Macaca fascicularis: one gene and its partners. The protein of the gene in region 3 binds, or shares a complex with, the protein of the main gene of each other region. Links are inferred from orthologs where the notes say so. Each region holds a gene or a part of one and is shown on either strand. Other genes may lie near its edges.

Evidence for each region.
Region 1: SNRPD2 (region 3) and RBM48 share a complex: the UniProt entries of both Homo sapiens proteins name them as parts of the minor spliceosome. The link is inferred for Macaca fascicularis from reciprocal best matches to the Homo sapiens genes SNRPD2 and RBM48.
Region 2: SNRPD2 (region 3) and STRAP share a complex: the UniProt entries of both Homo sapiens proteins name them as parts of the SMN-Sm complex. The link is inferred for Macaca fascicularis from reciprocal best matches to the Homo sapiens genes SNRPD2 and STRAP.

Annotation. Positions count from the first base shown.
Region 1 is NC_088377.1:128,835,502-128,842,597, forward strand, and holds the start of RBM48 (RNA-binding protein 48), read right to left. Parts: upstream 3,927-7,096; 5' UTR 3,909-3,926; coding exon 3,798-3,908; exon of another isoform or gene 3,538-3,797; intron 3,245-3,537; coding exon 3,054-3,244; intron 302-3,053; coding exon 156-301; intron 1-155. Other genes in the region: peroxisomal ATPase PEX1, read left to right, coding at 4,288-4,416. UniProt on the Homo sapiens protein: As a component of the minor spliceosome, involved in the splicing of U12-type introns in pre-mRNAs.
Region 2 is NC_088385.1:18,695,172-18,702,160, reverse strand, and holds the start of STRAP (serine-threonine kinase receptor-associated protein), read right to left. Parts: upstream 3,927-6,989; 5' UTR 3,607-3,926; coding exon 3,495-3,606; intron 2,775-3,494; coding exon 2,639-2,774; intron 1-2,638. UniProt on the Homo sapiens protein: The SMN complex catalyzes the assembly of small nuclear ribonucleoproteins (snRNPs), the building blocks of the spliceosome, and thereby plays an important role in the splicing of cellular pre-mRNAs.
Region 3 is NC_088393.1:53,754,819-53,761,813, forward strand, and holds SNRPD2 (small nuclear ribonucleoprotein Sm D2), read right to left. Parts: upstream 4,348-6,995; 5' UTR 4,295-4,347; coding exon 4,293-4,294; exon of another isoform or gene 3,561-4,292; intron 1,158-3,560; coding exon 978-1,157; intron 315-977; coding exon 140-314; 3' UTR 46-139; downstream 1-45. Other genes in the region: QPCTL (glutaminyl-peptide cyclotransferase-like protein), read left to right, coding at 5,109-5,315, 5,817-5,960. UniProt on the Homo sapiens protein: Plays a role in pre-mRNA splicing as a core component of the spliceosomal U1, U2, U4 and U5 small nuclear ribonucleoproteins (snRNPs), the building blocks of the spliceosome.

The sequences.
Region 1 (7,096 bases), on a different chromosome or scaffold from region 3:
CCCAGATTATGTAGTGTGCTGTAGAGAACCCTTACAGTTACTGAATACTGTGATGCTTTACTTGCCTCTCCTCCCACTAGACTAGGAATTGCATGATGATACACCTGGCAGAGTACCTGACATACAGGAGGCATTTAGCAATATGCTTTCCATACCTTTATTTTCAGTAGTTTTTACTACATATGCCTTACGCACTTGTAGTTTTTTTCTAGTTTCTTCAACTGTTTCAAATTCTGGCGCATAGCACACATGAAGCAATCCACCAAAGAAACTCTGTTCATCCATTTTTCTCTTGGCTGTCCTGAATGGAAATACAAGATAGCATGGTTTTTTAATCTAGATTTACTTGGGATGAAAGCTTAACTAGTATACAATATCTGGATCTAAAGAGCAAAGTCCAACTTTTGCTATGTGTATATATATCCTGTGGATTGGGAATTAAGATGCTCTGCTTGTGGACAGTATTCATTCCATTGTTCGAGTATGTACTTAGAGCCTCCCCTTTTCTTCCCTTCGAGCCTCTTTGTTTCCTAGTCTTTAAACAACTAAGGACCCAGCTGGTTGGCCTGAAGTATATAAACTGTGGTCATAAAATAGAGCTTTTCTCTGTGGCCCTGAAGAGTTACTTCATACCCAATTAAGCTTTTTCAGCACAATGTATTTCTGTAATGGGATTCTTGCCTTAAAAATCAGATGAAAAATACTATAATCATAAAACGTTCAATAACTGAGGAACTATTAAACATATAACAATGAGAAAATGAGAAGAATGTTATTCAGTCAATAAATACTTACTAAACATCTATGATTGGCCAGGTACTACAATAAATATAACTACTTCTGTATCCAGGGATAATGATAAATACTTGCTCAGATTTTACCATATGCCAGGCAATGTTGTAAGTGCTTCACTTGAATTAACACCTAACAACAACCCTGTAATGAAACGGAAGCACTGGGACATTACATAACTTAGCCATGCTCATACTCTGGTTTGAGGAGCAAGGATTCAAATCCAGATGTCTTACTTCAGAGCCTACTAGACTAGGTACTTTGGAAAACAGAAAAGCTCGAGAAAATATTTCTCTAACCATGACAGCTGGCAGATTGGTTAAGAAAGTGAGATTACATATAACAGCAGCCTGAGAAAACCACACATGACCCAGTAAAATCAAGTGCTTTTGTGGTAGATTATGATTTCTACTGATAGCACATGAAAGAAAATATGAATTGTAACAGCCAGAGAAGGATGGGTCTCAGAGCAGATTAGTGAGGAGAACAGAGATCAACATAAAAATAGATAAGGCATTGCATACTTCAGCCTTTTTGGAGCAGAGGGTTTATGTCACATAGAAGGCCGGAAAACACTGAGTCAATTTGCAGAAAGGAGTAACAGTAGAAACCACAATAGCTAATGCTTACTGTATTCTGACCAGGAGGCACTCTGCTAAACCCTTTATATGGATTATCTCATTTCATCCTCATACAACCTCAAGAAGTAGATAGGTCCCTTTACCATATAGATTTTACGGAACAGGAAAAACTTAAACAGGTTAAATAACTTGTCCAAGATCACAAAGCTAGTAAGCAGTGGAAATGGAAAACTTACTCCAAACCCAACATTTTTTTTTCTTTTGAGACATAGTCTCACTCCATCACCCAGGATGGAGTGCAGTGGTCCATAAATGACTCACTGCAACCTCCACCTCCTGGGCTCAACTGATTCTCCCACCTCAGCCTCCCAAGTAGCTGGGACTACAGGAATGCACTACCACGCCCACCTTGATTTTTGTATTTTTAGCAGAGGTGAGGTTTTGCCATGTTGGCCAGTCGGGTCTCGAACTCCTGGGCTCAAGCTGTCTGCCCACCTTGGCCTTCCATAGTGCTGGGATCGAATTCAACTTTTTTTTCTTTTCTTTTCTTTTTTTCTGGGACAGTCTCACTCTTTCCAGGCTGGAGTGCAATGGCATGATCTTGGCTCACTGCAACCTCTACTTTCTGGGTTCAAGTGATCCTTGTGCCTCAGCCTCCCCAGGAGCTGGGATTAAAGGCTTGCACCAACACAGCTAATTTTTGTATTTAGTAGAGTCAGGGTTTCACCATGTTGGCCAGACTGGTCTTGAACTCCTGACCTCAGGTGATCCGCCTACCTCCACCTCCCAAACTGCTGGGATTACAGGTGTGAGCCACATGCCTGGCGCCAAACCCAAATTTTTTTTTTTTTTTTTTTTTTTTGAGACGGAGCCTCGCTCTGTCATCCAGGCTGGAGTGCAGTGGTGTGATTTCTGCTCACTGCAATCTCCACCTCCCGGGTTCAAGCGATTCCCATGCCTCAGCCACCTGAGTAGCTGGGACTATGGGTCTGCACCACCACACCCGGCTAATTTTTGTATTTTTAGTAGAGCCGGGGTTTCCATCATGTTGGCCAGGCTGGTCTTGAACCCCTGACCTCAAGTGATCTGCCTGCCTCGGTCTCCCAAAGTACTCTGATTACAGGCGTGAGGCGTGAGTTATTGGCGCCCAGCCCTCAAACCCATTTTTTTTTTCTTTGAGGCGGAGATCCCCTCTTGTTGCCCTGGCTGGAGTGCAATGGCGCAATCTCGGCTCACTGCAACCTCTGCCTCCTGGGTTCAAGCAATTCTCCTGCCTCAGCCTCCTGAGTAGCTGGGATTACAGGTATGCACCACTAGACCCGGCTAATTTTGTATTTTTAGTAGAGACGGGGTTTCACCATGTTGGCCAGGCTGGTCTCAAACTCCTCACCTCGTGATCCGCCTGCCTCGGCCTCCCAGAGTGCTGTGATTGCAGGCGTAAGCCACCGTGCCTGGCCAAACCCAACTTTTACTCTACCACGCTACAGGACATTACATTGTTAAGCATGGGATGTGATGGATACAGTGTTTCAGTAAAGTTAACCTGTAAAAAGGCTGTAGGAAGATATGCTAGATTACATTTTGGGGTAATTCAGATATGAATGAGGGAAACTTGGGGCCAAAATGACAGAAATATGAATGGAGGAAATGAAACGAGTCATTGCTTAACTTGCACCTTACCTTGCACTTTGTAAGTTCATAAATTTAATAAGATAAACTTCAGTAAAGTCTTCTGCTGGGTATTCATCTAGCGCATTGTACTGTTCAATTGCACCATATAAAGCGAATCGCTCAACTAATTCCTTCATGACTCCCACAGCAGGAACTCCTTGTATTAATAAGTACTGAGATTCCAAATTGATTGTATATACCTGAAAGAAATGCATAGTTATTAAACGTATTTCGCAAATAAGCCTAGGACGAATCTGCCTCTATTTTTTTTTTTAAACAGAACTTTGAAAACAAGAAATAATCTGTTCAACCCAGTCAGCAAAAAACACAAAATAAAATTTCTGCCATTCCCTCTGCATAAAGAGTAACAGTCCATGTGAGAGGCTACCTAAGGCATATAACAGACTACCTTCAGTCGACATTTTTTTCCAGAAATTGAGTCGGCAGAAGTCACTGGGAACAATCACTCAACGAATATTCACTGAGCGCTTACCTGTGCCAAGTAGTACTGTAAACACTGAAGATCCAATGACTAAAACCAAGCCCTATTCTCGTGGAGTTGATGTTCTAATAGTTGACCAAAAGGGTCGTGAGAATCTTTGGTACCTGGCCCAGGGTTCTTCACGCCAGCTCTAATGAGCGACAGATCTGACGGAAGCCTTGTCGTGCCTTTATTTCCGTAGGTTAGCCATATGGCGCTAGCGCTCACAAAAAGCTACCGAGGAGAGCGAATGAAACCAAAAATCACTTTACCTTGACAGCACGAGGCCGTCGTCCCTCCCGATATTTGGCCCGCGTGTCGCACACCGCCCTCTGGACGTGGTGGTCAAATAAACTCCCTAACTCCCCACCGCTGGACGCCATCTTGCCTACTTTGATCCTTGCAGGGAGGACAACATCCGCCCTGCTGACCTCCCTTTTATCCAATAAGAGAGCGGGATGAGTTAAGGAGTGTCAGCATTGGCTGAAGAATCGACAGCGTCGGCCATCGTTTCCTGCGTGCGAGGATTTGATGAACGAGGTGCCGCCCCCGAGCGGCTTGGCGGAGAGGCGCGGTGGGTGACAGAAGCTTTCTTGTCCCACCCCACTACAGGCTTACGGCGAGACGCGCAGCGGGGAGAGGGGGCGGGGCCTCAGGGGGCGGGGCCGATCGATCTCCTCCGGTTCCGACGTCCTCGGCCTGCCAGGTCCCGTGTCCTTTGCGGCGCTAGGGTGGGCAAACCCAGAGCGACGCTTCGGGACGATGTGGGGCAGCGATCGCCTGGCGGGTGCTGGGGGAGGCGGGGCGGCAGTGACTGTGGCCTTCACCAACGCTCGCGACTGCTTCCTCCACCTGCCACGGGGTCTCGTGGCCCAGCTGCACCTGCTGCAGGTAACGTGCTGGCCCCGGGCCACCTGATCTTCAGCCTGGGGTCGGACAAGGCCGAAGCCTCTCAGGGACGCGGCGGGACACCGGCTGCCACCCGGGCGCCCCCGAAGCGTACAGAGATTAGGGTCCCTCGACGGCAGGGCCCTTCTGGTTAGTCTCTGCATCCCGCAAGTCCAGTGCAGCCCTGGGCTCGTCTTATCACAGGTCTTTTCACTTGGTGAAACTGGGCCTAGAAATGTCCTAATATTCTACCACTGTTTTTATAAATATTCCTCATTCCAGGCTGGAAAAGTTCCTGATAAGTGGTTTGTTTTTGTTATTTTAAAAGGTGCTTTTCTTGCCAGTCATTTCCAGTTACCTGCGCTGCTGCCGTCCGGGCCGCGAGAGGGAGGCGCAGAGTTGTTGGTGGAGCCCCTGTCGGTCCCCGGGGACTGAGCACCGCGTCCCATGAGCGGGAAAGCTTAATATAGTAATGGTTCTGTCCTGCGTCCCAGACCCTCGGAACACAGCTGTAGTGTGTCAGGAACACATAACGTAGTTAAGATCACTTGAAGCTCTGCGATCAGTCGCCCTTCTGGACGTTGTGGTTGGGATGTTTCGCAGTTCTAACCACCGGTGGAGATACAGCGTCCTTATTTTCGTAATTAAAAATAGAGGCACATGGTCTCACGAGTTTGAGTGTGGTTATGGGGGCAAAAGGACGGCGTATTTGAAATCTTCATAAATCCTGGATGCATGGTACCCACCAGTGGCTAATCTATGTAATGAATAAAGAGTTTGCAATAATTTCAAGCATCCCTTCTTTCCACTTGAGTTACTTCTCCATACCTAGGGGAAGATTTTTTTGGTCCATTGAAAACATGAGTTCAGCAGAATCCTCCTATCATCGTCGTTATTATTTTTTACTACTAAGTAGACAATCTTGGTTTTTGATGGGCTTTATGGTTAGAGACAAATCAGTCACTGTCACCAAGTTCCAGGTAGAAGTTGGTTCAGTGCTCTGTCAGCTTCGATGGGATTTTTCAACATGTTTTCAAATCCACTCATGATAGTAGGAATGCTTTCTTACAGTAACTCTAATTTGATCCTAAGATGTAGTTGTTACCTTACATTCATCACTGTTTAAGAATTTAGTGGTCTTGATCTTTGTTTTAAATTTTGAGCCTTCGAGAAGTATTTATAAGAATTAATTCATGTTACCTTATATTCGTCACTATTTAAGAATTTAGTGGTCTTGATCTTGTTTTAAATTTTGAGCCTTCAAGAAGTACTTATAGGAACTAATTCATGCATATCTTTTTGAAATGTAAATGTCTTTAGCCCTGGAACAAATTGCTGTTTCTGTTCAGCCCATATTAGCAGAATAGGTCAACTTTGCTTTCTAATTATCAATGTAATAAGTTTATGACTTTATAGATTCTATAAATCTATACATTTATTTCTTGATGAATTATATAAATTTATATAATTTATGTTTTGTAGAAAATTTAGAAAGCATGGAAAATTGTTAACGGGAAAATAAATTACCCGTAATCCCAGAACTTAGAGGTGACTAATGTTGACAGTTTGGATCAAATCTTCCAGTTTTGTTTCTAATCTTCATTTTTAACAGAAATGAAGTCCTATATACACACATACAGTTTTGTGTCCTAGTGTTTTTACTTAATGTTATTATGAGTGTTTTATTTTGTTAAAAGGTCATCATTTTAAGTTGTTAATTAGTATTCTAGCACAAATTTGCCATAATTTATTTAACTGTTCACTATGATTGACTATTTAGATTGTACTTAATTTTTAGGCATTAGAAGTGATAAACTATATTTTAATCAAACGTTGAAAATAACACATCTTTGTTTAGAAAACATCATTTTTATTTCTTGTTGTCTAGGATAGATTCCCAGAATTCTTGGGTTAGAGGCCATAGATAATTATGAAAGCCGAAAGGTTCACAAATTGGGAGTTAATACTTGAATTATTTTATTTGGGGTGAAACATTGAGTACATAATACAGATCATGCAGTAATGGGAAGAGGGGTTGGAACAATGGTTTTCTGGCTTATGTCAGACTTACCTTGAAGCTTTTAAGAATACAGATGTTCTGTTGGGAGGCCAAGACGTGCGGATCACGAGGTCAGGAGATCGAGACCATCCTGGCTAACACGGTGAAACCCCGTATCTACTAAAACTACAAAAAAAAAAAATTGGCTGGGCGTGGTGGCGAGCGCCTCTAGTCCCAGCTACACGGGAGGCTGAGGCAGGAGAATGGCGTGAACCCAGGGGGCGGAGCTTGCAGTGAGCCGAGATCGCGCCACTGCACTCCAGCCTGGGCGACAGAGTGAGACTCCGTCTCAAAAAAAAAAAAAAAAAAAGAATACAGATGTTGTGATCAACCCTCTGACCTATTAAATCAAAATCTTAGGGAATAGACTTTAGGCATCTCTAATTTTAAAAAATTTATTCAGGCTACTTGGATGCACAAAAGAGTTGAGACCTACTGTCCTAGAATCATAGAATGTTAATGACCATAGAGACCTTAAGCATCTAGGTTGTTTCTGTACGTTTACACGTAAGGAAAATGGCATTCCTAGGCCAGTACCATTGCCATGCAGCTAATTTGCCCTCTTGTCTATAGCTCACTCTGCGTCACCCAACCTACCCTTCTCACCGTTTCTTCTATAACCAA
Region 2 (6,989 bases), on a different chromosome or scaffold from region 3:
CAGGAAGCTGAGGTTGGAGAACTGCTTGAGACTGGGAGGTAGAGGCTGCAGTGAGCTATGATCACGCCACTGCACTCTAGCCTAGGCACCTAAGACCCTGATTAAAAAACAATAATAATAATAACCCTATGATGATCAAACTGGAAATACACAACATAGTTTGCACATGAATGCAAGCCCACCTAGTGCCAATGCTTGTTACCATTTTCCACTCTAACACAGCACCTAAAGCCTTAACTGAGGGGGGAAAAAAAATCACAAAAATCTTCCTACTTGACATTTAAATCCATTCAACCTTCCTTACATGAGGCCAAATGGTTTCAAGGCTTTAGCCATATTAGTTTCAAAATAATATGTGATTTTGATCAAGTGCGGGTGGTAATAGTTTACATGGTAGCTATCATTGTTACTTTACATATGTAACACTTTCATAGATGTAATGGACTTCAGGCAATATTCTAAGTATTTGAAACATATTAACTTATTTAATATTCAAAACCAACCTATGAGGTAGGTACCACGACAGAAAAGAAATGGTTAAAGTGCATGAGGCCACTAATTCAAATACAAGTCATCTGGCTCCAGTCTTCATGCTCTTAACACCAGTTGTAAACACAAGACATTGAGACTTGAAATGTTAAAAAAGCATAAAGACAACACTGTTTCAACAAACAAGAGCATACAGTCACGTATCCGCCACCACAATCAATCAGCCTTCATTTTCTCATTCTAAAATTGGTATGTTTAATTTACTTAAAAGGAAGGAGGCAGCACATTTACAATTCCTCCTTAGTGTGAGGTTGTTTAAAAAAAAAAAAAAAATCAAAGGCCAGCCACAGTGGCTCACACCTGTAATCCCAGCACTTTGGGAGGCCAAAATCACTTGAGGTCAGGAGTTCGAGACCAGCCTGGCCAACATGGCAAAACCCCATCTCTACTAAAAACACAAAAATTAGCCGGGCATGGTGGCGCACACCTGTAGTCCCAGCCTCTCAGGAAGCTGAGGTGGGAGAATCACTTGAACCTCAGAGGTGGAAGTTGCAGTGAGCCGAAATTGTGCCACTGCACTCCAGCCTGGGCGACAGAGCAAGACTCTGTCTTTAAAAAAAAAAAAAAAATCAACACCACTTGTACTCTCTAGCCTCTTAAATCTAATAAATTTGTGTATGCACAATAGCTCTTGATATTGCCTTCATCAGTTTAAACAATGAAGTGTCAAATTCCTAAGTTACAAATACCAAGTAGGAACTGGAGAAAACAAGATTTTTAATACATGATATATTCCCAAAAAGGCAACGAGGGCCACTGTAGGTCAGTTTAATAACATAATTAACAGCCAAAAGTCAGAACAGGTAAAGTATATTTCTGACAACAATAAGATTAGTATAATTAGATTGTAGGTTTATGGTGTGCAATGGGAGAGGATGATGTTGATGAACTAGGATGAAGCAAACTGTAAAGGGCCAACAATTGAAATGTGTCCTTTAGGTCAGCAATTCTACGACTGCATATCAGGAAAGAAAAGGAGGGAAGAAAAATAAAAAAAACGCCAATGATCAGTATGATCAGTACTCTATCCCTAAAGACCAATCAAACCAGAATTTCTGTACCAGGCACAATAGTTCATCCCCAAAACCCCAGCTCTTTGAGAGGCTGACGCATGGAGGCCAACAGTTTAAGACAGCCTGGGCAACATAGCTAGATACTGTCTATATACTAAAAAGTATTTTAAAAATTTTTCAATGTAGTAAAAAGTGTAAATATATATATGCATAGAGAGTAAAAAAGTAAAAAAAAAAAAGTTTTAAAAATCCAAATTTCTGGGACACATACCATTTGAATATTTGAAAAGTTCTCCAGATATTCTAATGTATGTCAAAGGTCATGAACTACTAAAATGGCAAAGGGAAGACAGCAAGATCATTAGGTAGAGAAGTGACATGATCAAATACATTTTTAGGAAGACAACTGGCAGCAATATGGAATATGAATAGGAGGAAAAGAAACTACTGAAAGTTAAAAATGATCCTCAACTAAGGCAGTGGCAGTTACTACATGGAGGAACATTGTAGTCAGGAGACATCCTGCTGGCACAATCAAAACAGATGATGATAATCTCGATGTAAGGGAAAATCAAGAATGCTTTAGATTTCAACCTTTAAAAACTTAGGAAATGAAGAGCAGTTGAGTTTTGCTTTGTTGTTGTTTTGTCTTTTTGTTTGTTTTTGACACAATGAGTTTTAGTGATGCCTACAGCCAGTTAACAAAAACTGGGATTGAAATAAAAACCTAGGGTCATCACTGTAGGTTATCACTAAGGAGTACACACAGAGCAGCATTCGTAAAGGAGATCAACATTCATTATCTGGAGCGTTTGTTAATGCAGATTCCTGAGTCTCAATCAAAATATAAGGAGTAAGTCATTTAGGCCTCTAAAAATTTTGAGAACCACTGAAGACAAAAGCAGCACACAGGACCACGATGGACCAGGATGGAATTTTGGTGAGATCAAACATCATGCGTTCTATATGGCAGCCAGCGAGTCAGAATTTTATGAATATCTGAGACTGAAGTTTTTGATTATTTCAGGACACAATCTACAGAGAACACCAAAGTTAGCCATCTTGGCTACACTTACGCTGTGAAATCTGCAGCTGCTGTAGCTGCTTTGGTGGCATCCTTATTCAGTGTTGCACCCCAAACAGCACCTTTATGACCCAAAAATGTTCCAATCCAGTCTCCTGTATCTCCCTGGCGTAGCATAGGTTTACCATCTAGAAAATATTTTTTAAAACATGTAATTTATAAGTTCGGATTAAAGTCTAAGATTCAAATGTAAATATACAATGATGTTCAATGACGAAGTGGAAAAATTGTTTCAGCTATTTAACTATCACCACCGATTGAAGTCACTACGGAATGTCCAGTAATAATTAACTGAAGAGCTGAACAGATCATTTTCCCTGAAAAGCATCTGTAATTTGCTGGGAATACTGATCTGCGTCGAAATAACTTAGATTTTAGTCTTATTTTGGACAAACATTGTAGCCTAAATCTGTTTCCCATTTGAAAAATGAGGCTAATACCACAAAGGAATACCCAGTGAGACAAGAGCGAACATCTTTGTAAGGTATCGCACGGCCTGGCCTAATTTCTCCTTTCCCCAAATCCTTGACAGCTATTTACAGTGTTGTCCCGAGAGTCTAGGCAAGTGCTGTCCAGCTCCTTCAAAAATAGCAATAAAAATAAAATAAGGAGAGAGGTCTTAGCTGGGGGTAATAGTTTCTACATAAGCGTCCGGAGGCCTCTCGGCTCCAGCTGCGGATTCCCTAACACACTCCTTTCTCCACTGGACCAGTGTTGGCCCTCATCTCAGATGTTAATATCGCCCCCTCCCCGCTCACCACACCACAGCTCAGCACTGGAGAGTGCGGGTCCCAATCCCTTTCGGCCCAGTCCCAGCCGTCGGGGACCAGGATTGAGGCCTTGCTCACCTTTGCAAGCGCTGATTAAGAAATACCCATAAGGCGTGATGCCACTGAAGGCCAAATCAACCACGGGACGCGTGTGGCCAGAGCAGGTGAGCGGCGTCTGTCTCATTGCCATGGCGGCGGCGAACCCAGCGACCGGACTGGCGAGCTGAGGGTCGTCGTTGTCTTTTCTCTCTTCTGCTGCAGCGCCTCGGGCTCCTCCAGGCCCCCGCCCTGACACTAGGGCTGGGCTGGGCAACAGGAAAAGAAGGGCAATCCGGTGGCACCGAGGTTAGGAAGGGGTGAGGGAGGGGTCAGGGAGTCTGCTACCAGCAAGCAACAGTCGACGAGGGAGGGAAAGGGAGGGAGGGAGGAAAGTAGGGGATGGGGAGAAGCAGAGAACCGGCCCAGCCACGATTCACACCGTCCACACCGGTATCGGCAGGAAGTGACGACGTAAATGACGCAGAGCACCCGCCGGAAATGACGATTGGCTGGCGGGAGGGCGGGCTCGCTGGGCATAAGTGACTTGAAGAAAGAGCGAGAAGTGCAGAAAGACGCAGGCGCCAGTTCAGTGCCCTGAGGTAACTAACGCTGGCCCATGCCGGCTAAAGGAGGCGCTGTAGGCACCGGGATGGGGTCCCTCGCCCCGAGCTCTAGCGGGTCAGAACGCCTTCCCGGTCCGCGGCCGAGTTGAAATCCCTTCCCACTCCCGTAAGCCCAGGGGCCAGCGGCAGCAGTGTACCCGCCGAGCAGCCCTACTGAGGACTGTGCTCGGCCTCTGAATATCTAGACGGACACGAGCCATTCCCAGTGACGGCTCAAACCTGCGAACACTGTCTAGTAACGTTTTTTTGCAATTTGTCTTACTTAAAAACCATATACGGGCTTGGCGTGGTGGTGCCTGTGGTCCCACCTATTTGGAAGGCTGAGGTGGGAGGATACTGGAGCCGGAGAAGTCGAGGCCAGCCACAGTAAGCGGTGGTCGCGCCACTGCACTCCAGCCTGGACGACAGAGCGAGACCCTGTCTTAAAACAAAAAAACAAAAACCAAAAAAAATTCCCCAGCCATCTCTTCTGCTGTGTGAGTTTTCCTATGTTGCTAATGTTTTAGGCGTGGATACTATATAGTTTTAAATGCGATTAAATTCAAATTACTTTTTCCTTGGTGGACTTTGGAGAACTCTAGAGTTGTAGATCCCCAATATTTTTGATTAAATACTCTCATCAATAAAGTGAGCCTGCACTCATTTTTTAAGCGAATGAATGCTGAATTCTATCAAAAACTTTTACACATCTTTTGATATGTATACATATGAGTGATAATTTGCAAATTACATACAAGGACAAATTAAAAGAATATTTAAATATAAACTGTGATATTGTCTGCAGCAGGCAGCCCAGTGTGGCTCTGTGAAACAACCAGAGCTGTTAATTGTTCATACTGTTTACTAACCAGGAGAGGCCTTTTCTCTGGGCAAGTTCTTTATTGCTAGAATGTAAGCCCTATACAACAGAGATTTTTGTGTTTACTACTTCATCCCCAAGATCAAAACGTCTTGGCACATACCAATAAATATGTAATCAACATAAATGTCTGTGAATGTTTTCTTCATCTTTTTGCAGCAAACACCGTCTACAAGATTTGCGTCAAACAACGTGAAAACTTGAAATATGTCTCTATTCTTTTTCCTTAGTACTCTCGTCCATTCACTTACAGTAAAGCACTTACTATATACGTTTTTCATTTTATTTTGTTTGACTCCTCCTTTGTGTCAGCCTCTCCCTTTTGTCTCACACATACACACCACTCACACATTTATGAGCTCCTTAATGGCAATGGTTATGGCTTTGTCATTTGTACTCTAGTGCCAGAAAAGTGAATGACATTTAGTGAATGCTCAGCATTACTGTTTACTGATTAAATAGATTGTTGCATTACTGATGGAGGTAAATAAAAGAGCCAGTCAAAATGACACAACTGGTCAGATACTGGTACATGTTCATTTATTGCTGATTGTGTGTAGATAAAAATATAACTGGTGAGTTATGGTACCTACTTGGCTCTAAAGAATGTATTCCTGCTCATTTGGATTGAGTTCTGAAAGTATTGTGTATTATAACCAATTGTGTAGGCTTCAAGGTCAATTTAATATTAGAAGACAGGTTAATGTAATTGATATAATTCACAATATTAAAAGATTAAAGAAGAAAATCGTATCAAAAGATGTGTAAAAAGTTTTTGATAGAATTCAGCATCCTTTCACTTACAAGAACTCTTAGACACTAAAAATAGAAGGGAATTTTTTAACCTGACAGACTATCTGAAACCCCACACCTAATGGTGAAACACAGAAAGCATTCTGTATTAGGTACAAGACAGATGATTGCTACTGCCTCTTCTATACAGCATTGCACTGGGTGTTCAGAAAACTTAAAAATGCATAAATGTTCCAAAGAAAGTTGTAAATCTGTGATTAGAAATTGTTTTAGAGGTTATATATAAAGAAAAGAGGCAAGGTGCGGTGGCTCATGCCTGTAATTCCAGTTCCCAGTACTTTGGGAGGCTGAGATGGGAGGATCACTCCAGTCCAGGAATTCAAGACCAACCTGGGCAAGAGAATGAGACTCAGACTCTACAAAAAAATTAAAAAATTAGCCTGGCATGGTGGTACACACCTGTGATCCCAGCTACACGGGACACTGAGGCAGGAGGATCACTTGAGCTCAGAAGTTTGTGGCTGCAATAAACCCTATTTCTGCTACTGCACTTCAGCCTGGACAATGAGGTAAGACCGTGTCTCTAAAGAAAAAAAAACTAATACAAGTTATTGGAATTAATGAGAGAATTTAGAAAGGTTACTGGAGTTTTTTTTTTTTTTTTTTTTTTAAAGAGAGAAGGTCTCACTGTGCTACCCAGGCTAGAGTGCAATGGCTACATTACTGGGTTTTTTGGGGTTTTTTTGTTGTTTTTGGTGTGTGTGTGTGTGTAATGAAGACATCACATTTCTATATGTTAGCAACAACAGAAAATGTAATTTTAAAGTATACCATATTAAATGGCATCAAGAGTTATAAATTACATTGGAATAAACAAAGTGTACTCCCCAGCAAAAGAAAACTGGCACACTGAAATGTAGAAGTTGAGGGCAATGTAATGAAGGGATCAGTTACAGAAGTGTGGCCAGGATCAAAAGTAACCAACAAGAAGAAAATGGGGCACTAATCATAGATCTGAGCGAGAAACTGAAAGGGAGCAGTTATCTGAACCTGATTTCATTGAGAAAGGTACGGCTGCAGCAGAAGGCTCTGGGCGAGAGGTGGAATAATCGGTAGAGGAACACAACTGCTCCCAATTATCATCAGCCCAGCCATGGGGAAGAAGTGGGGAAATAGATATGTACTTTTAGATCTTCTGCCCATGCTTCCATTGGTCAAACCCAGCCAGAGCCCAGAAGACAAGGGAGCCCTTTAATGGGGTCCATAAATGTCAACCTTCTAGGACTTAAAACATAGTAC
Region 3 (6,995 bases):
CTCCTGAATCCACCCCACTCACAAGGCTCTGGGAACACATACCACTAGAAAAAAACCACAGAGCTTTATTATTCTCAACACCAATGGCAATGGTCTTCATAGGACGAGAGAGTGAGTTCTGTCGATGGATAGGCAGCCCCTACTTGCCGGCGATGAGCGGGTTCCGCAGGACCACGATGACCGAGTCCCCACGCAGGAACATCTTGGAGATGTAGCGGTCTTTGTTGACTGGCTTGGATTTCTTCTTGCCCTTGCCGCTCTTAGGGACCTCAGTCCACATCTCCTTCACGTTCTCCAGCACCATGTTGCAGTGCCTGGTGGGGAACAGGGAGGGGAGGCACTGGGTGTGAGGGGGGTGCCTCTGACAGCGCTGCCTGCTGCTCGCCCCCTCCAGCAGCATGGCTTGGGGAAGGGTGCAGGTGCTAGGCTGGATGACCAAGCTGCCAAGGCCAATTCTGCCAGTCCTTAGGTTGAGGCTGAGGCAAAGGACTGCACCTCTCTGTGCCAGTTTGTTCATCTTTAAGAGGGAAGACAATCACAGTACCTTCCTCACAAGGTCGTTGAATATTATCTTTTTTTTTCTTTTTTTTTTTTTGAGACAGAGTGTCGCTCTGTTGCCCAGGCTGGAGTGCAGTGGTGCGATTTCAGCTCGCCGCAACCTCTGCCTCCTGGGTTCAGGCAATTCTCGTGCCTCGGCCTCCTGAGCAGCTGTGAATACAGGTGTGCACCACCACGCCCGGTTTTTATATTTTTAATAGAGATGCCGTTTCACCATGTTAGCCAGGCTAGTCTCGAACTCCTGACCTCAGGTGATCCACCCGCCTTGGCCTCCCAAAGTGCTGGAATTACAGGCATGAGCCACCACCCTGGGCCATACACCCCAGGCGTCTGAGAAACCTGTCTTTGAGCTCTTCAGACTGGAGCTAGGGCAGCCTCTCTAGGCCTGCACAGAACACCTCCCAGGACCCAGCACTCACCTATCGAAGGCCTTCACACGGCCCAGGAGTTTCTTATTGTTGCGACAGTTGATGAGCACTTGGGTGTTGTTCTTGACTGACTGAGTGAGCACAGAGAGTGGACCCGTGTTAAATTCCTCCTCCTCTCGCTTCTGCAGCTCCTCTGGGGTCATCTCACTCTTGGGCTTGTTGAGGAGGCTCCTGCATGGACAAACATGGAACCCACAAGTGAGAGAGGCTGGAGCTGTGAGGATGGGTGGTCAGGGCCTCAGCCTCAATGTCTCCCCAGCCTTGTCCCATCACATCCATCCTGTTTGGCCTTCTGAGTATCACCAGCTGGATGCCTAACAGACATTTTCTTTTTCTTTTCTTTTCTTTTTTTTTGAGACAGAGTCTTGCTCTGTTGCCAGGCTAGAGTGCAGAGGCACGATCTCAGCTCACTGCAACCTCTGCCTCCTGGGTTCAAGCGATTCTCCTGCCTCAGCCTCCTGAGTAGCTGGGACTACAGGTGCGCGCCACCTCCACGCCCAGCTAATTTTTGTATTTTTAGTAGACAGTGGGTTTCACCACGTTGGCCAGGATGGTCTTGATTTCCTGACCTCGTGATCCACCCGCCTCGACCTCCCGAAGTGCTGAGATTACAGGTGTGAGCCACCGCGCTCAGCCAGACATTTTCAACTCTGCATGTCTCAGGTCGGGGTCCAGATCACCCAACCACCGAAGCCTACCCTATCCACAGTGTTCCCCATCTGCCTTCTAGTTCTCTGGGCAAAAACTCTTTGTCAACTTGATTCCTCTTTTTCCCTTGCATCCTACAATAAATCTGTAGGAAGTGGCCATTTCTTACCATGGCCTCAGCCTCTGTCATCTCTGACCTGGAATCTTTCCGGTCTCTCTGCCTCCACCCATGTTCCCTGACAGTCTGTTCTCCACAGAGTGGTCTGAGGGGGCTGTGCTAAAACCTAAATCATAACATGTCACTCTTCAAAGCCCTCCCAGGGGCTGGGTACGGTAGCTCATGCCTGTAATCCTAGCACTTTTGTGGTGCAGAGGTTGCGGTGAGCTGAGATCGCGCCACTGCACTCCACCCTGGCAACAGAGCAAGACTCCGTCTCAAAAAAAAAAAAAAAAAAAAAGAAAAGAAAAGAAAAGAAAATGTCTGTTAGGCATCCAGCTGGTGATGATTCACAAGGCGGGTGGATCACTTGACATCAGGAGTTCGAGACCAGCCTGGCCAACACGGTGAAAACCCATCTCTACTAAAAATACAAACAAAACAAAAACAACAACAAAAAATTAGCCAGGCGTGGTGGTGCACGCCTGTAATCTCAGCTACTTGGTAGGTTCTGGCAGAAGAATCGCTTGAGCTCAGGAGTCGGAGAGTGCAGTGAAGCGAGATCATGCCACTGCACTCCAGCCTGGGCGACAGAGCGAGACTCTGTCTCAAAAAATAAATAAATACAAATTAGAAAATACAAAAATTAGGCTGCGTGTGATGGCTCACGCCTGTAATCCCAGCACTTTGGGAGGCCAAGGGGGGTGGATCGCCTGAGCTCAGGAGTTCCAGACCACCCAGGGCAACATGGTGAAACCCTGTCTCTACTAAAAATACAAAAAAATTAACGAGGTGTGATGGCGCATGCCTCTAGTCCCAGCTACTTAGGAGGATGACGCAGGAGAATCGCTGGAGCCCCAGCAGCGAAGGTTGCAGTGAGCCAAGATTACACCACTGCACTCCAGCTTGGGTTACAGAGTAAGACTCCATCCCCCACCCCAAAAAAAAAAGTAGCTGGGCATGGTGGCGCATGCTTGTAATCCTAGCTACTTGGGAGGCTGAGGCAAGAAGATCACTTGAACCCAGGAGACAGAGATCGTGCTACTACACTCCAATCTGGGTGACAGAGCGAGATTCCATCTCAAACAAACAAAAGAAAATCCTCCCATGCCCCCCCGCCATCTCAGTGTAGAAAGTAAAACCCCGGCCAGGCATGGTGGCTCACGCCCGGCCAGGCACGGTGGCTCACGCCTGTAATGCCAGCACTTTGGAAGGTCGAGGCAGGTGGATCATTCGAGGTCAGGAGTTTGAGACCAGGTTGGCCAACATGGCGAAATCTGGTCTCTACTAAAAATATAAAAGTCAGCTGGGCATGGTGGTTGGTGCCTGTAATCCTAGCAACTCGGGAGGCTGAGGCAGGAGAATTGCTTCAACTCGGGAGGCAGAGGTTGCAGTGAGCTGAGATCGCACCATTGCACTCCAGCCTGAGCAACAGAGCAAGGCTATGTCTCGGGAAAAAAAAAAAAAAAAAAAGATTTTTTTTTTCCTTGGGAACAAAAGGTTTCATTCACTGATGTATCCTATGTGGCTTAAGCAGTGTCTGATACATAAACATTCAATGTAATATTTGGTGCACTAATAAATGAGCAAAATCATGCCAATCACTCGTTATCCCTTTAAGTTGTGAATTAGGTCGAAAACGCATCTGTCTCCAGCTCAAATGATCAGGAGAAGTCCCTTATTTCAAATCATTATTTCTAAAAGTCCTAACTTCCCTTCCCCAGTATTCGTTTTGATTTCTTTTGTTTCGTTTTGAGATGGAGTCTTACTCTTCGCTCAGGCTGGAAGTGTGCAGTGGTGCAATCTCGGCTCACTGCAACCTCCGTCTACCGGGTTCAAGCGATTCTCCGGCCTCAGCCTTCCAAGTAGCTGGAATTACAGGGGCCCGACACTACGTCTGGCTAATTTTTGTATTTTTGGTAGACACGGGGTTTCACCACAATGGCCAGGCTGGTCTCAAACTCCTGACCTCAGGTGATCTGCCCGCCTCGGCCTCCCAAAGTGCTGGGATTTACAAACCTGAGCCACCGCGCCCGGCCTCCCCCAGTATTCGTAAAATCGCTGCCCCTTAACATTCACTTCAATAGGACTAATTATCTAGGACCCCCCTCCGTTATCGTTTAAAATATGTTTTTCATAATTAAAAAAAATTTTTTTTGTAGAGACGGGGGTCTCGCTATGTTGCCTAGAGTAGTCTCGAAACTCCTGTGTTCTAGCGATGCTCCCGCCTTGGCCTACTAAAATGCTGGGATCACAGGCATGAGTCCCCGCGCCCAGCCCAGCGCGTTATCTGATAAAGCTGTCCCCTCTCCCGAAGTCACGATGCGTCAAAGGCCCCACGCCCGTTCTCAAACTCATCAGGAGAAACGCAGGACGCTCCATCCCTAAAACATCTGCCCCTGTCCCCCACCCCGCTCTCTGCTCAACCCTTCCCACCCTCAATCGGTCAAAATTTCCACCCTCAACCTCCTTCCCGCCGCCTAAGCCTAGCCCGGCCTCACATGATGGTCACTAAGCTCTCCGTTCACTCCCGTTTCCTCCGCGTTGCTGCAGCCTGAGGCGAGAGAGGCGGGACTTCCTCTTCCTGCGACCCACTTCCGTTGGCGCCTGCGCAAAGCCAACCAGTAAGTGGAGGCGTGGCCTGTTGCCATAGCATTGCCCACCAACGGTGCACAATGAAAGAATAAAAGCCTCGGATAGGGGTTCGAGGCCAGTCAGAACCACACGGGGCAGATGTTTATGACAATGAAGACAAAAGGAAAGGCGGTCTGATTCAAACCGTTTCGTTTAAGAATGGTACAGGTTTAAGGAGGGAAATGACAAACTATTTCCAAATGCCCGCCGGCCGTGACTTCGGGGGCGCGGCCTCCGCTGAAGCCAATCCGCTCCTCGCTTCGGAGACAGGCACCGCCCCTCTTCCCTCTGGGACGGGTTATTGACGTATCTACTGATCTTTCCGACCCTGCGCCACCAATCCCCTGCCTACATCCGGGAGGGGCATGGACCTGCGCCCGAGAGATTGAATATTTTCCACGATCAAACGCTGCTCATTGGCTTTCCCCCTCCGCTAAGGCGGAGCCTATCTCTTTTGCGCTCCCTTTTGGGTCGTGCCATTCTCAGAAGAACCAACCCCAATACCCAAGGGAGGCCGGGAGGCGTGTCCTCAGGACCGTAGCTCTTATTGGTTTCGCTGCTCGCTGTGGGGTGGGCAGGTGCAGCCGCTGCTGTTGCTTATTGGCCCACTGATTCCATGGGGTGGAACTTGGCTGGGCCTAAACTCAATCGTGGTCTGGTACAGGTTTCAGGGCATAGCTGCCATGCGTTCCGGGGGCCGCGGGCGGCCCCGCCTGCGGCTAGGGGAACGTGGCGTTATGGAGCCACTCTTGCCCCCGAAGCGCCGCCTGCTACCGCGGGTTCGGCTCTTGCCCCTGTTGCTGGCGCTGGCCGTGGGCTCGGCGTTCTACACCATTTGGAGCGGCTGGCACCGCAGGACTGAGGAGCTGCCGCTGGGCCGGGAGCTGCGGGTGAGGCTGGGCGGGGACCCGGGCACCGCGGGGACCCTCATTCCCTCCCCGCTGTTACCCAGGGTTGACTTGGCTTTAGCGTACGGCCCTAACCGCAGATGCCACAGTCTTCGTCATCTGAGCGCATGACCCTTACCAAAGGAATAAGGCTTCGGGCTGGTTTTACAACAGTAGCTTCCTTTTATGAGGAAAGGTCTGAAATAGTAAGACGAGGGGGTTCAGGGTTCTACGCCTTTAGTCAACTATTTGGAAGAGTCCCTTCCTCCATCTCCCCTCTCTCTCACTGGGCCTCGATTTCCCCATCAAGTTTGAGGTAGGCTGGACCGGATGGTCTTGGAAGGACTTTTTCTGAGCCTTGGATTTATCCTAGAAGTCTCCGATGCTGGAGGCCGCAAATTAGAAAGAGGACCCGGGGCTGCTTGTGGGTGACGGCGCCCGGGGTAGGGATGAAATGGTGGGTTGCTCTCATTCTTCCCTTCCCTATCCCACCTCCTTCCCAAGGTCCCGTTGATCGGAAGCCTTCCCGAAGCCCGGCTGCGGAGGGTGGTGGGACAACTGGACCCACAGCGTCTCTGGGGCACTTATCTGCGCCCCCTGCTGGTTGTGCGAACCCCAGGCAGCCCGGGAAATCTCCAAGTCAGAAAGGTAAAGGGACCCACCTCCAGTCCCTGACCCCCTAGCCCTCCAGGGAATGGGAAATAAGCATCCTGTTCAAGATCCCAAAGGAGCTAAGAGGAGGAACTGGGGCAATGACTGGAGTTAATCGGACTCTAGACTCCCATGCTGAAAACAAACCACCAGGCTGTACTGCCCCCCTTAATGCCCCCACCAAAAGCTTACTATGTGCTAGGCATAGGCAACAGACAGCCCTTTAAGGTGGGTACCAATATGATCTTCATTATGCAGATGGGGAAATTGAGGCTCAGAGAGGTTATACACATTGCACAAATCCTACAGATAATAAATAGTAGACCTTAGCCTGGTGCACTGGCTCATGCCTGTAATCCCAGCACTTTGGGAAGCCAAGGTGGGGGAATCATCTGAGAACTTCGAGACTAGCCTAGTCAACATAGTGAGACCCAATGTTTAGAAAATCATAGACCTAGAGTTGAACCCAAGCAGGTTGGCTCCAACCTGGTGCTGTAATGTGAGTCATTTAAAGGCCAGGCACAGCAGCTCACACCTGTAATCCTAGCACTTTGGGAGGTCAAGACAGGCAGATCACTTGAGGTCAGGAATTTGAGACCAGCCTGGCCAACATCGTGAAACCCCATCTCTACTAAAAATACAAAATTAGCCAGGCGTGGTGGTGGGTAACTGTAGTCGCAGCTACTTGGGAGGCTGAGGCACGAGAATCACTTGAACCCGGGAGGCGGAGGCTTCAGTGAGCTGAGATTGCTCCACTGCACCCCAGCGTGGGTGACAGAGCAAGACTCCATCTCAAAAAAAAAAAAAAAAAAAAGAGTCATTTAAATACTGCCTGAGTCCCAGTGCGACCTCATCCACTTAGATTGTGACCTTGGACTTGTTTCTTTTCTCTTTTCTTTTCTTTTTTTTTTTTTTGAGACGGAGTCTCACACTGTTGCTTGGGTTGGAGTGCAGTGGCGCAATCTCGGCTCACGGCAACCTCCACTTACCAGGTTCAAGTGATTCTCCTGCCTCAACCTCCTGAGTAGCTGG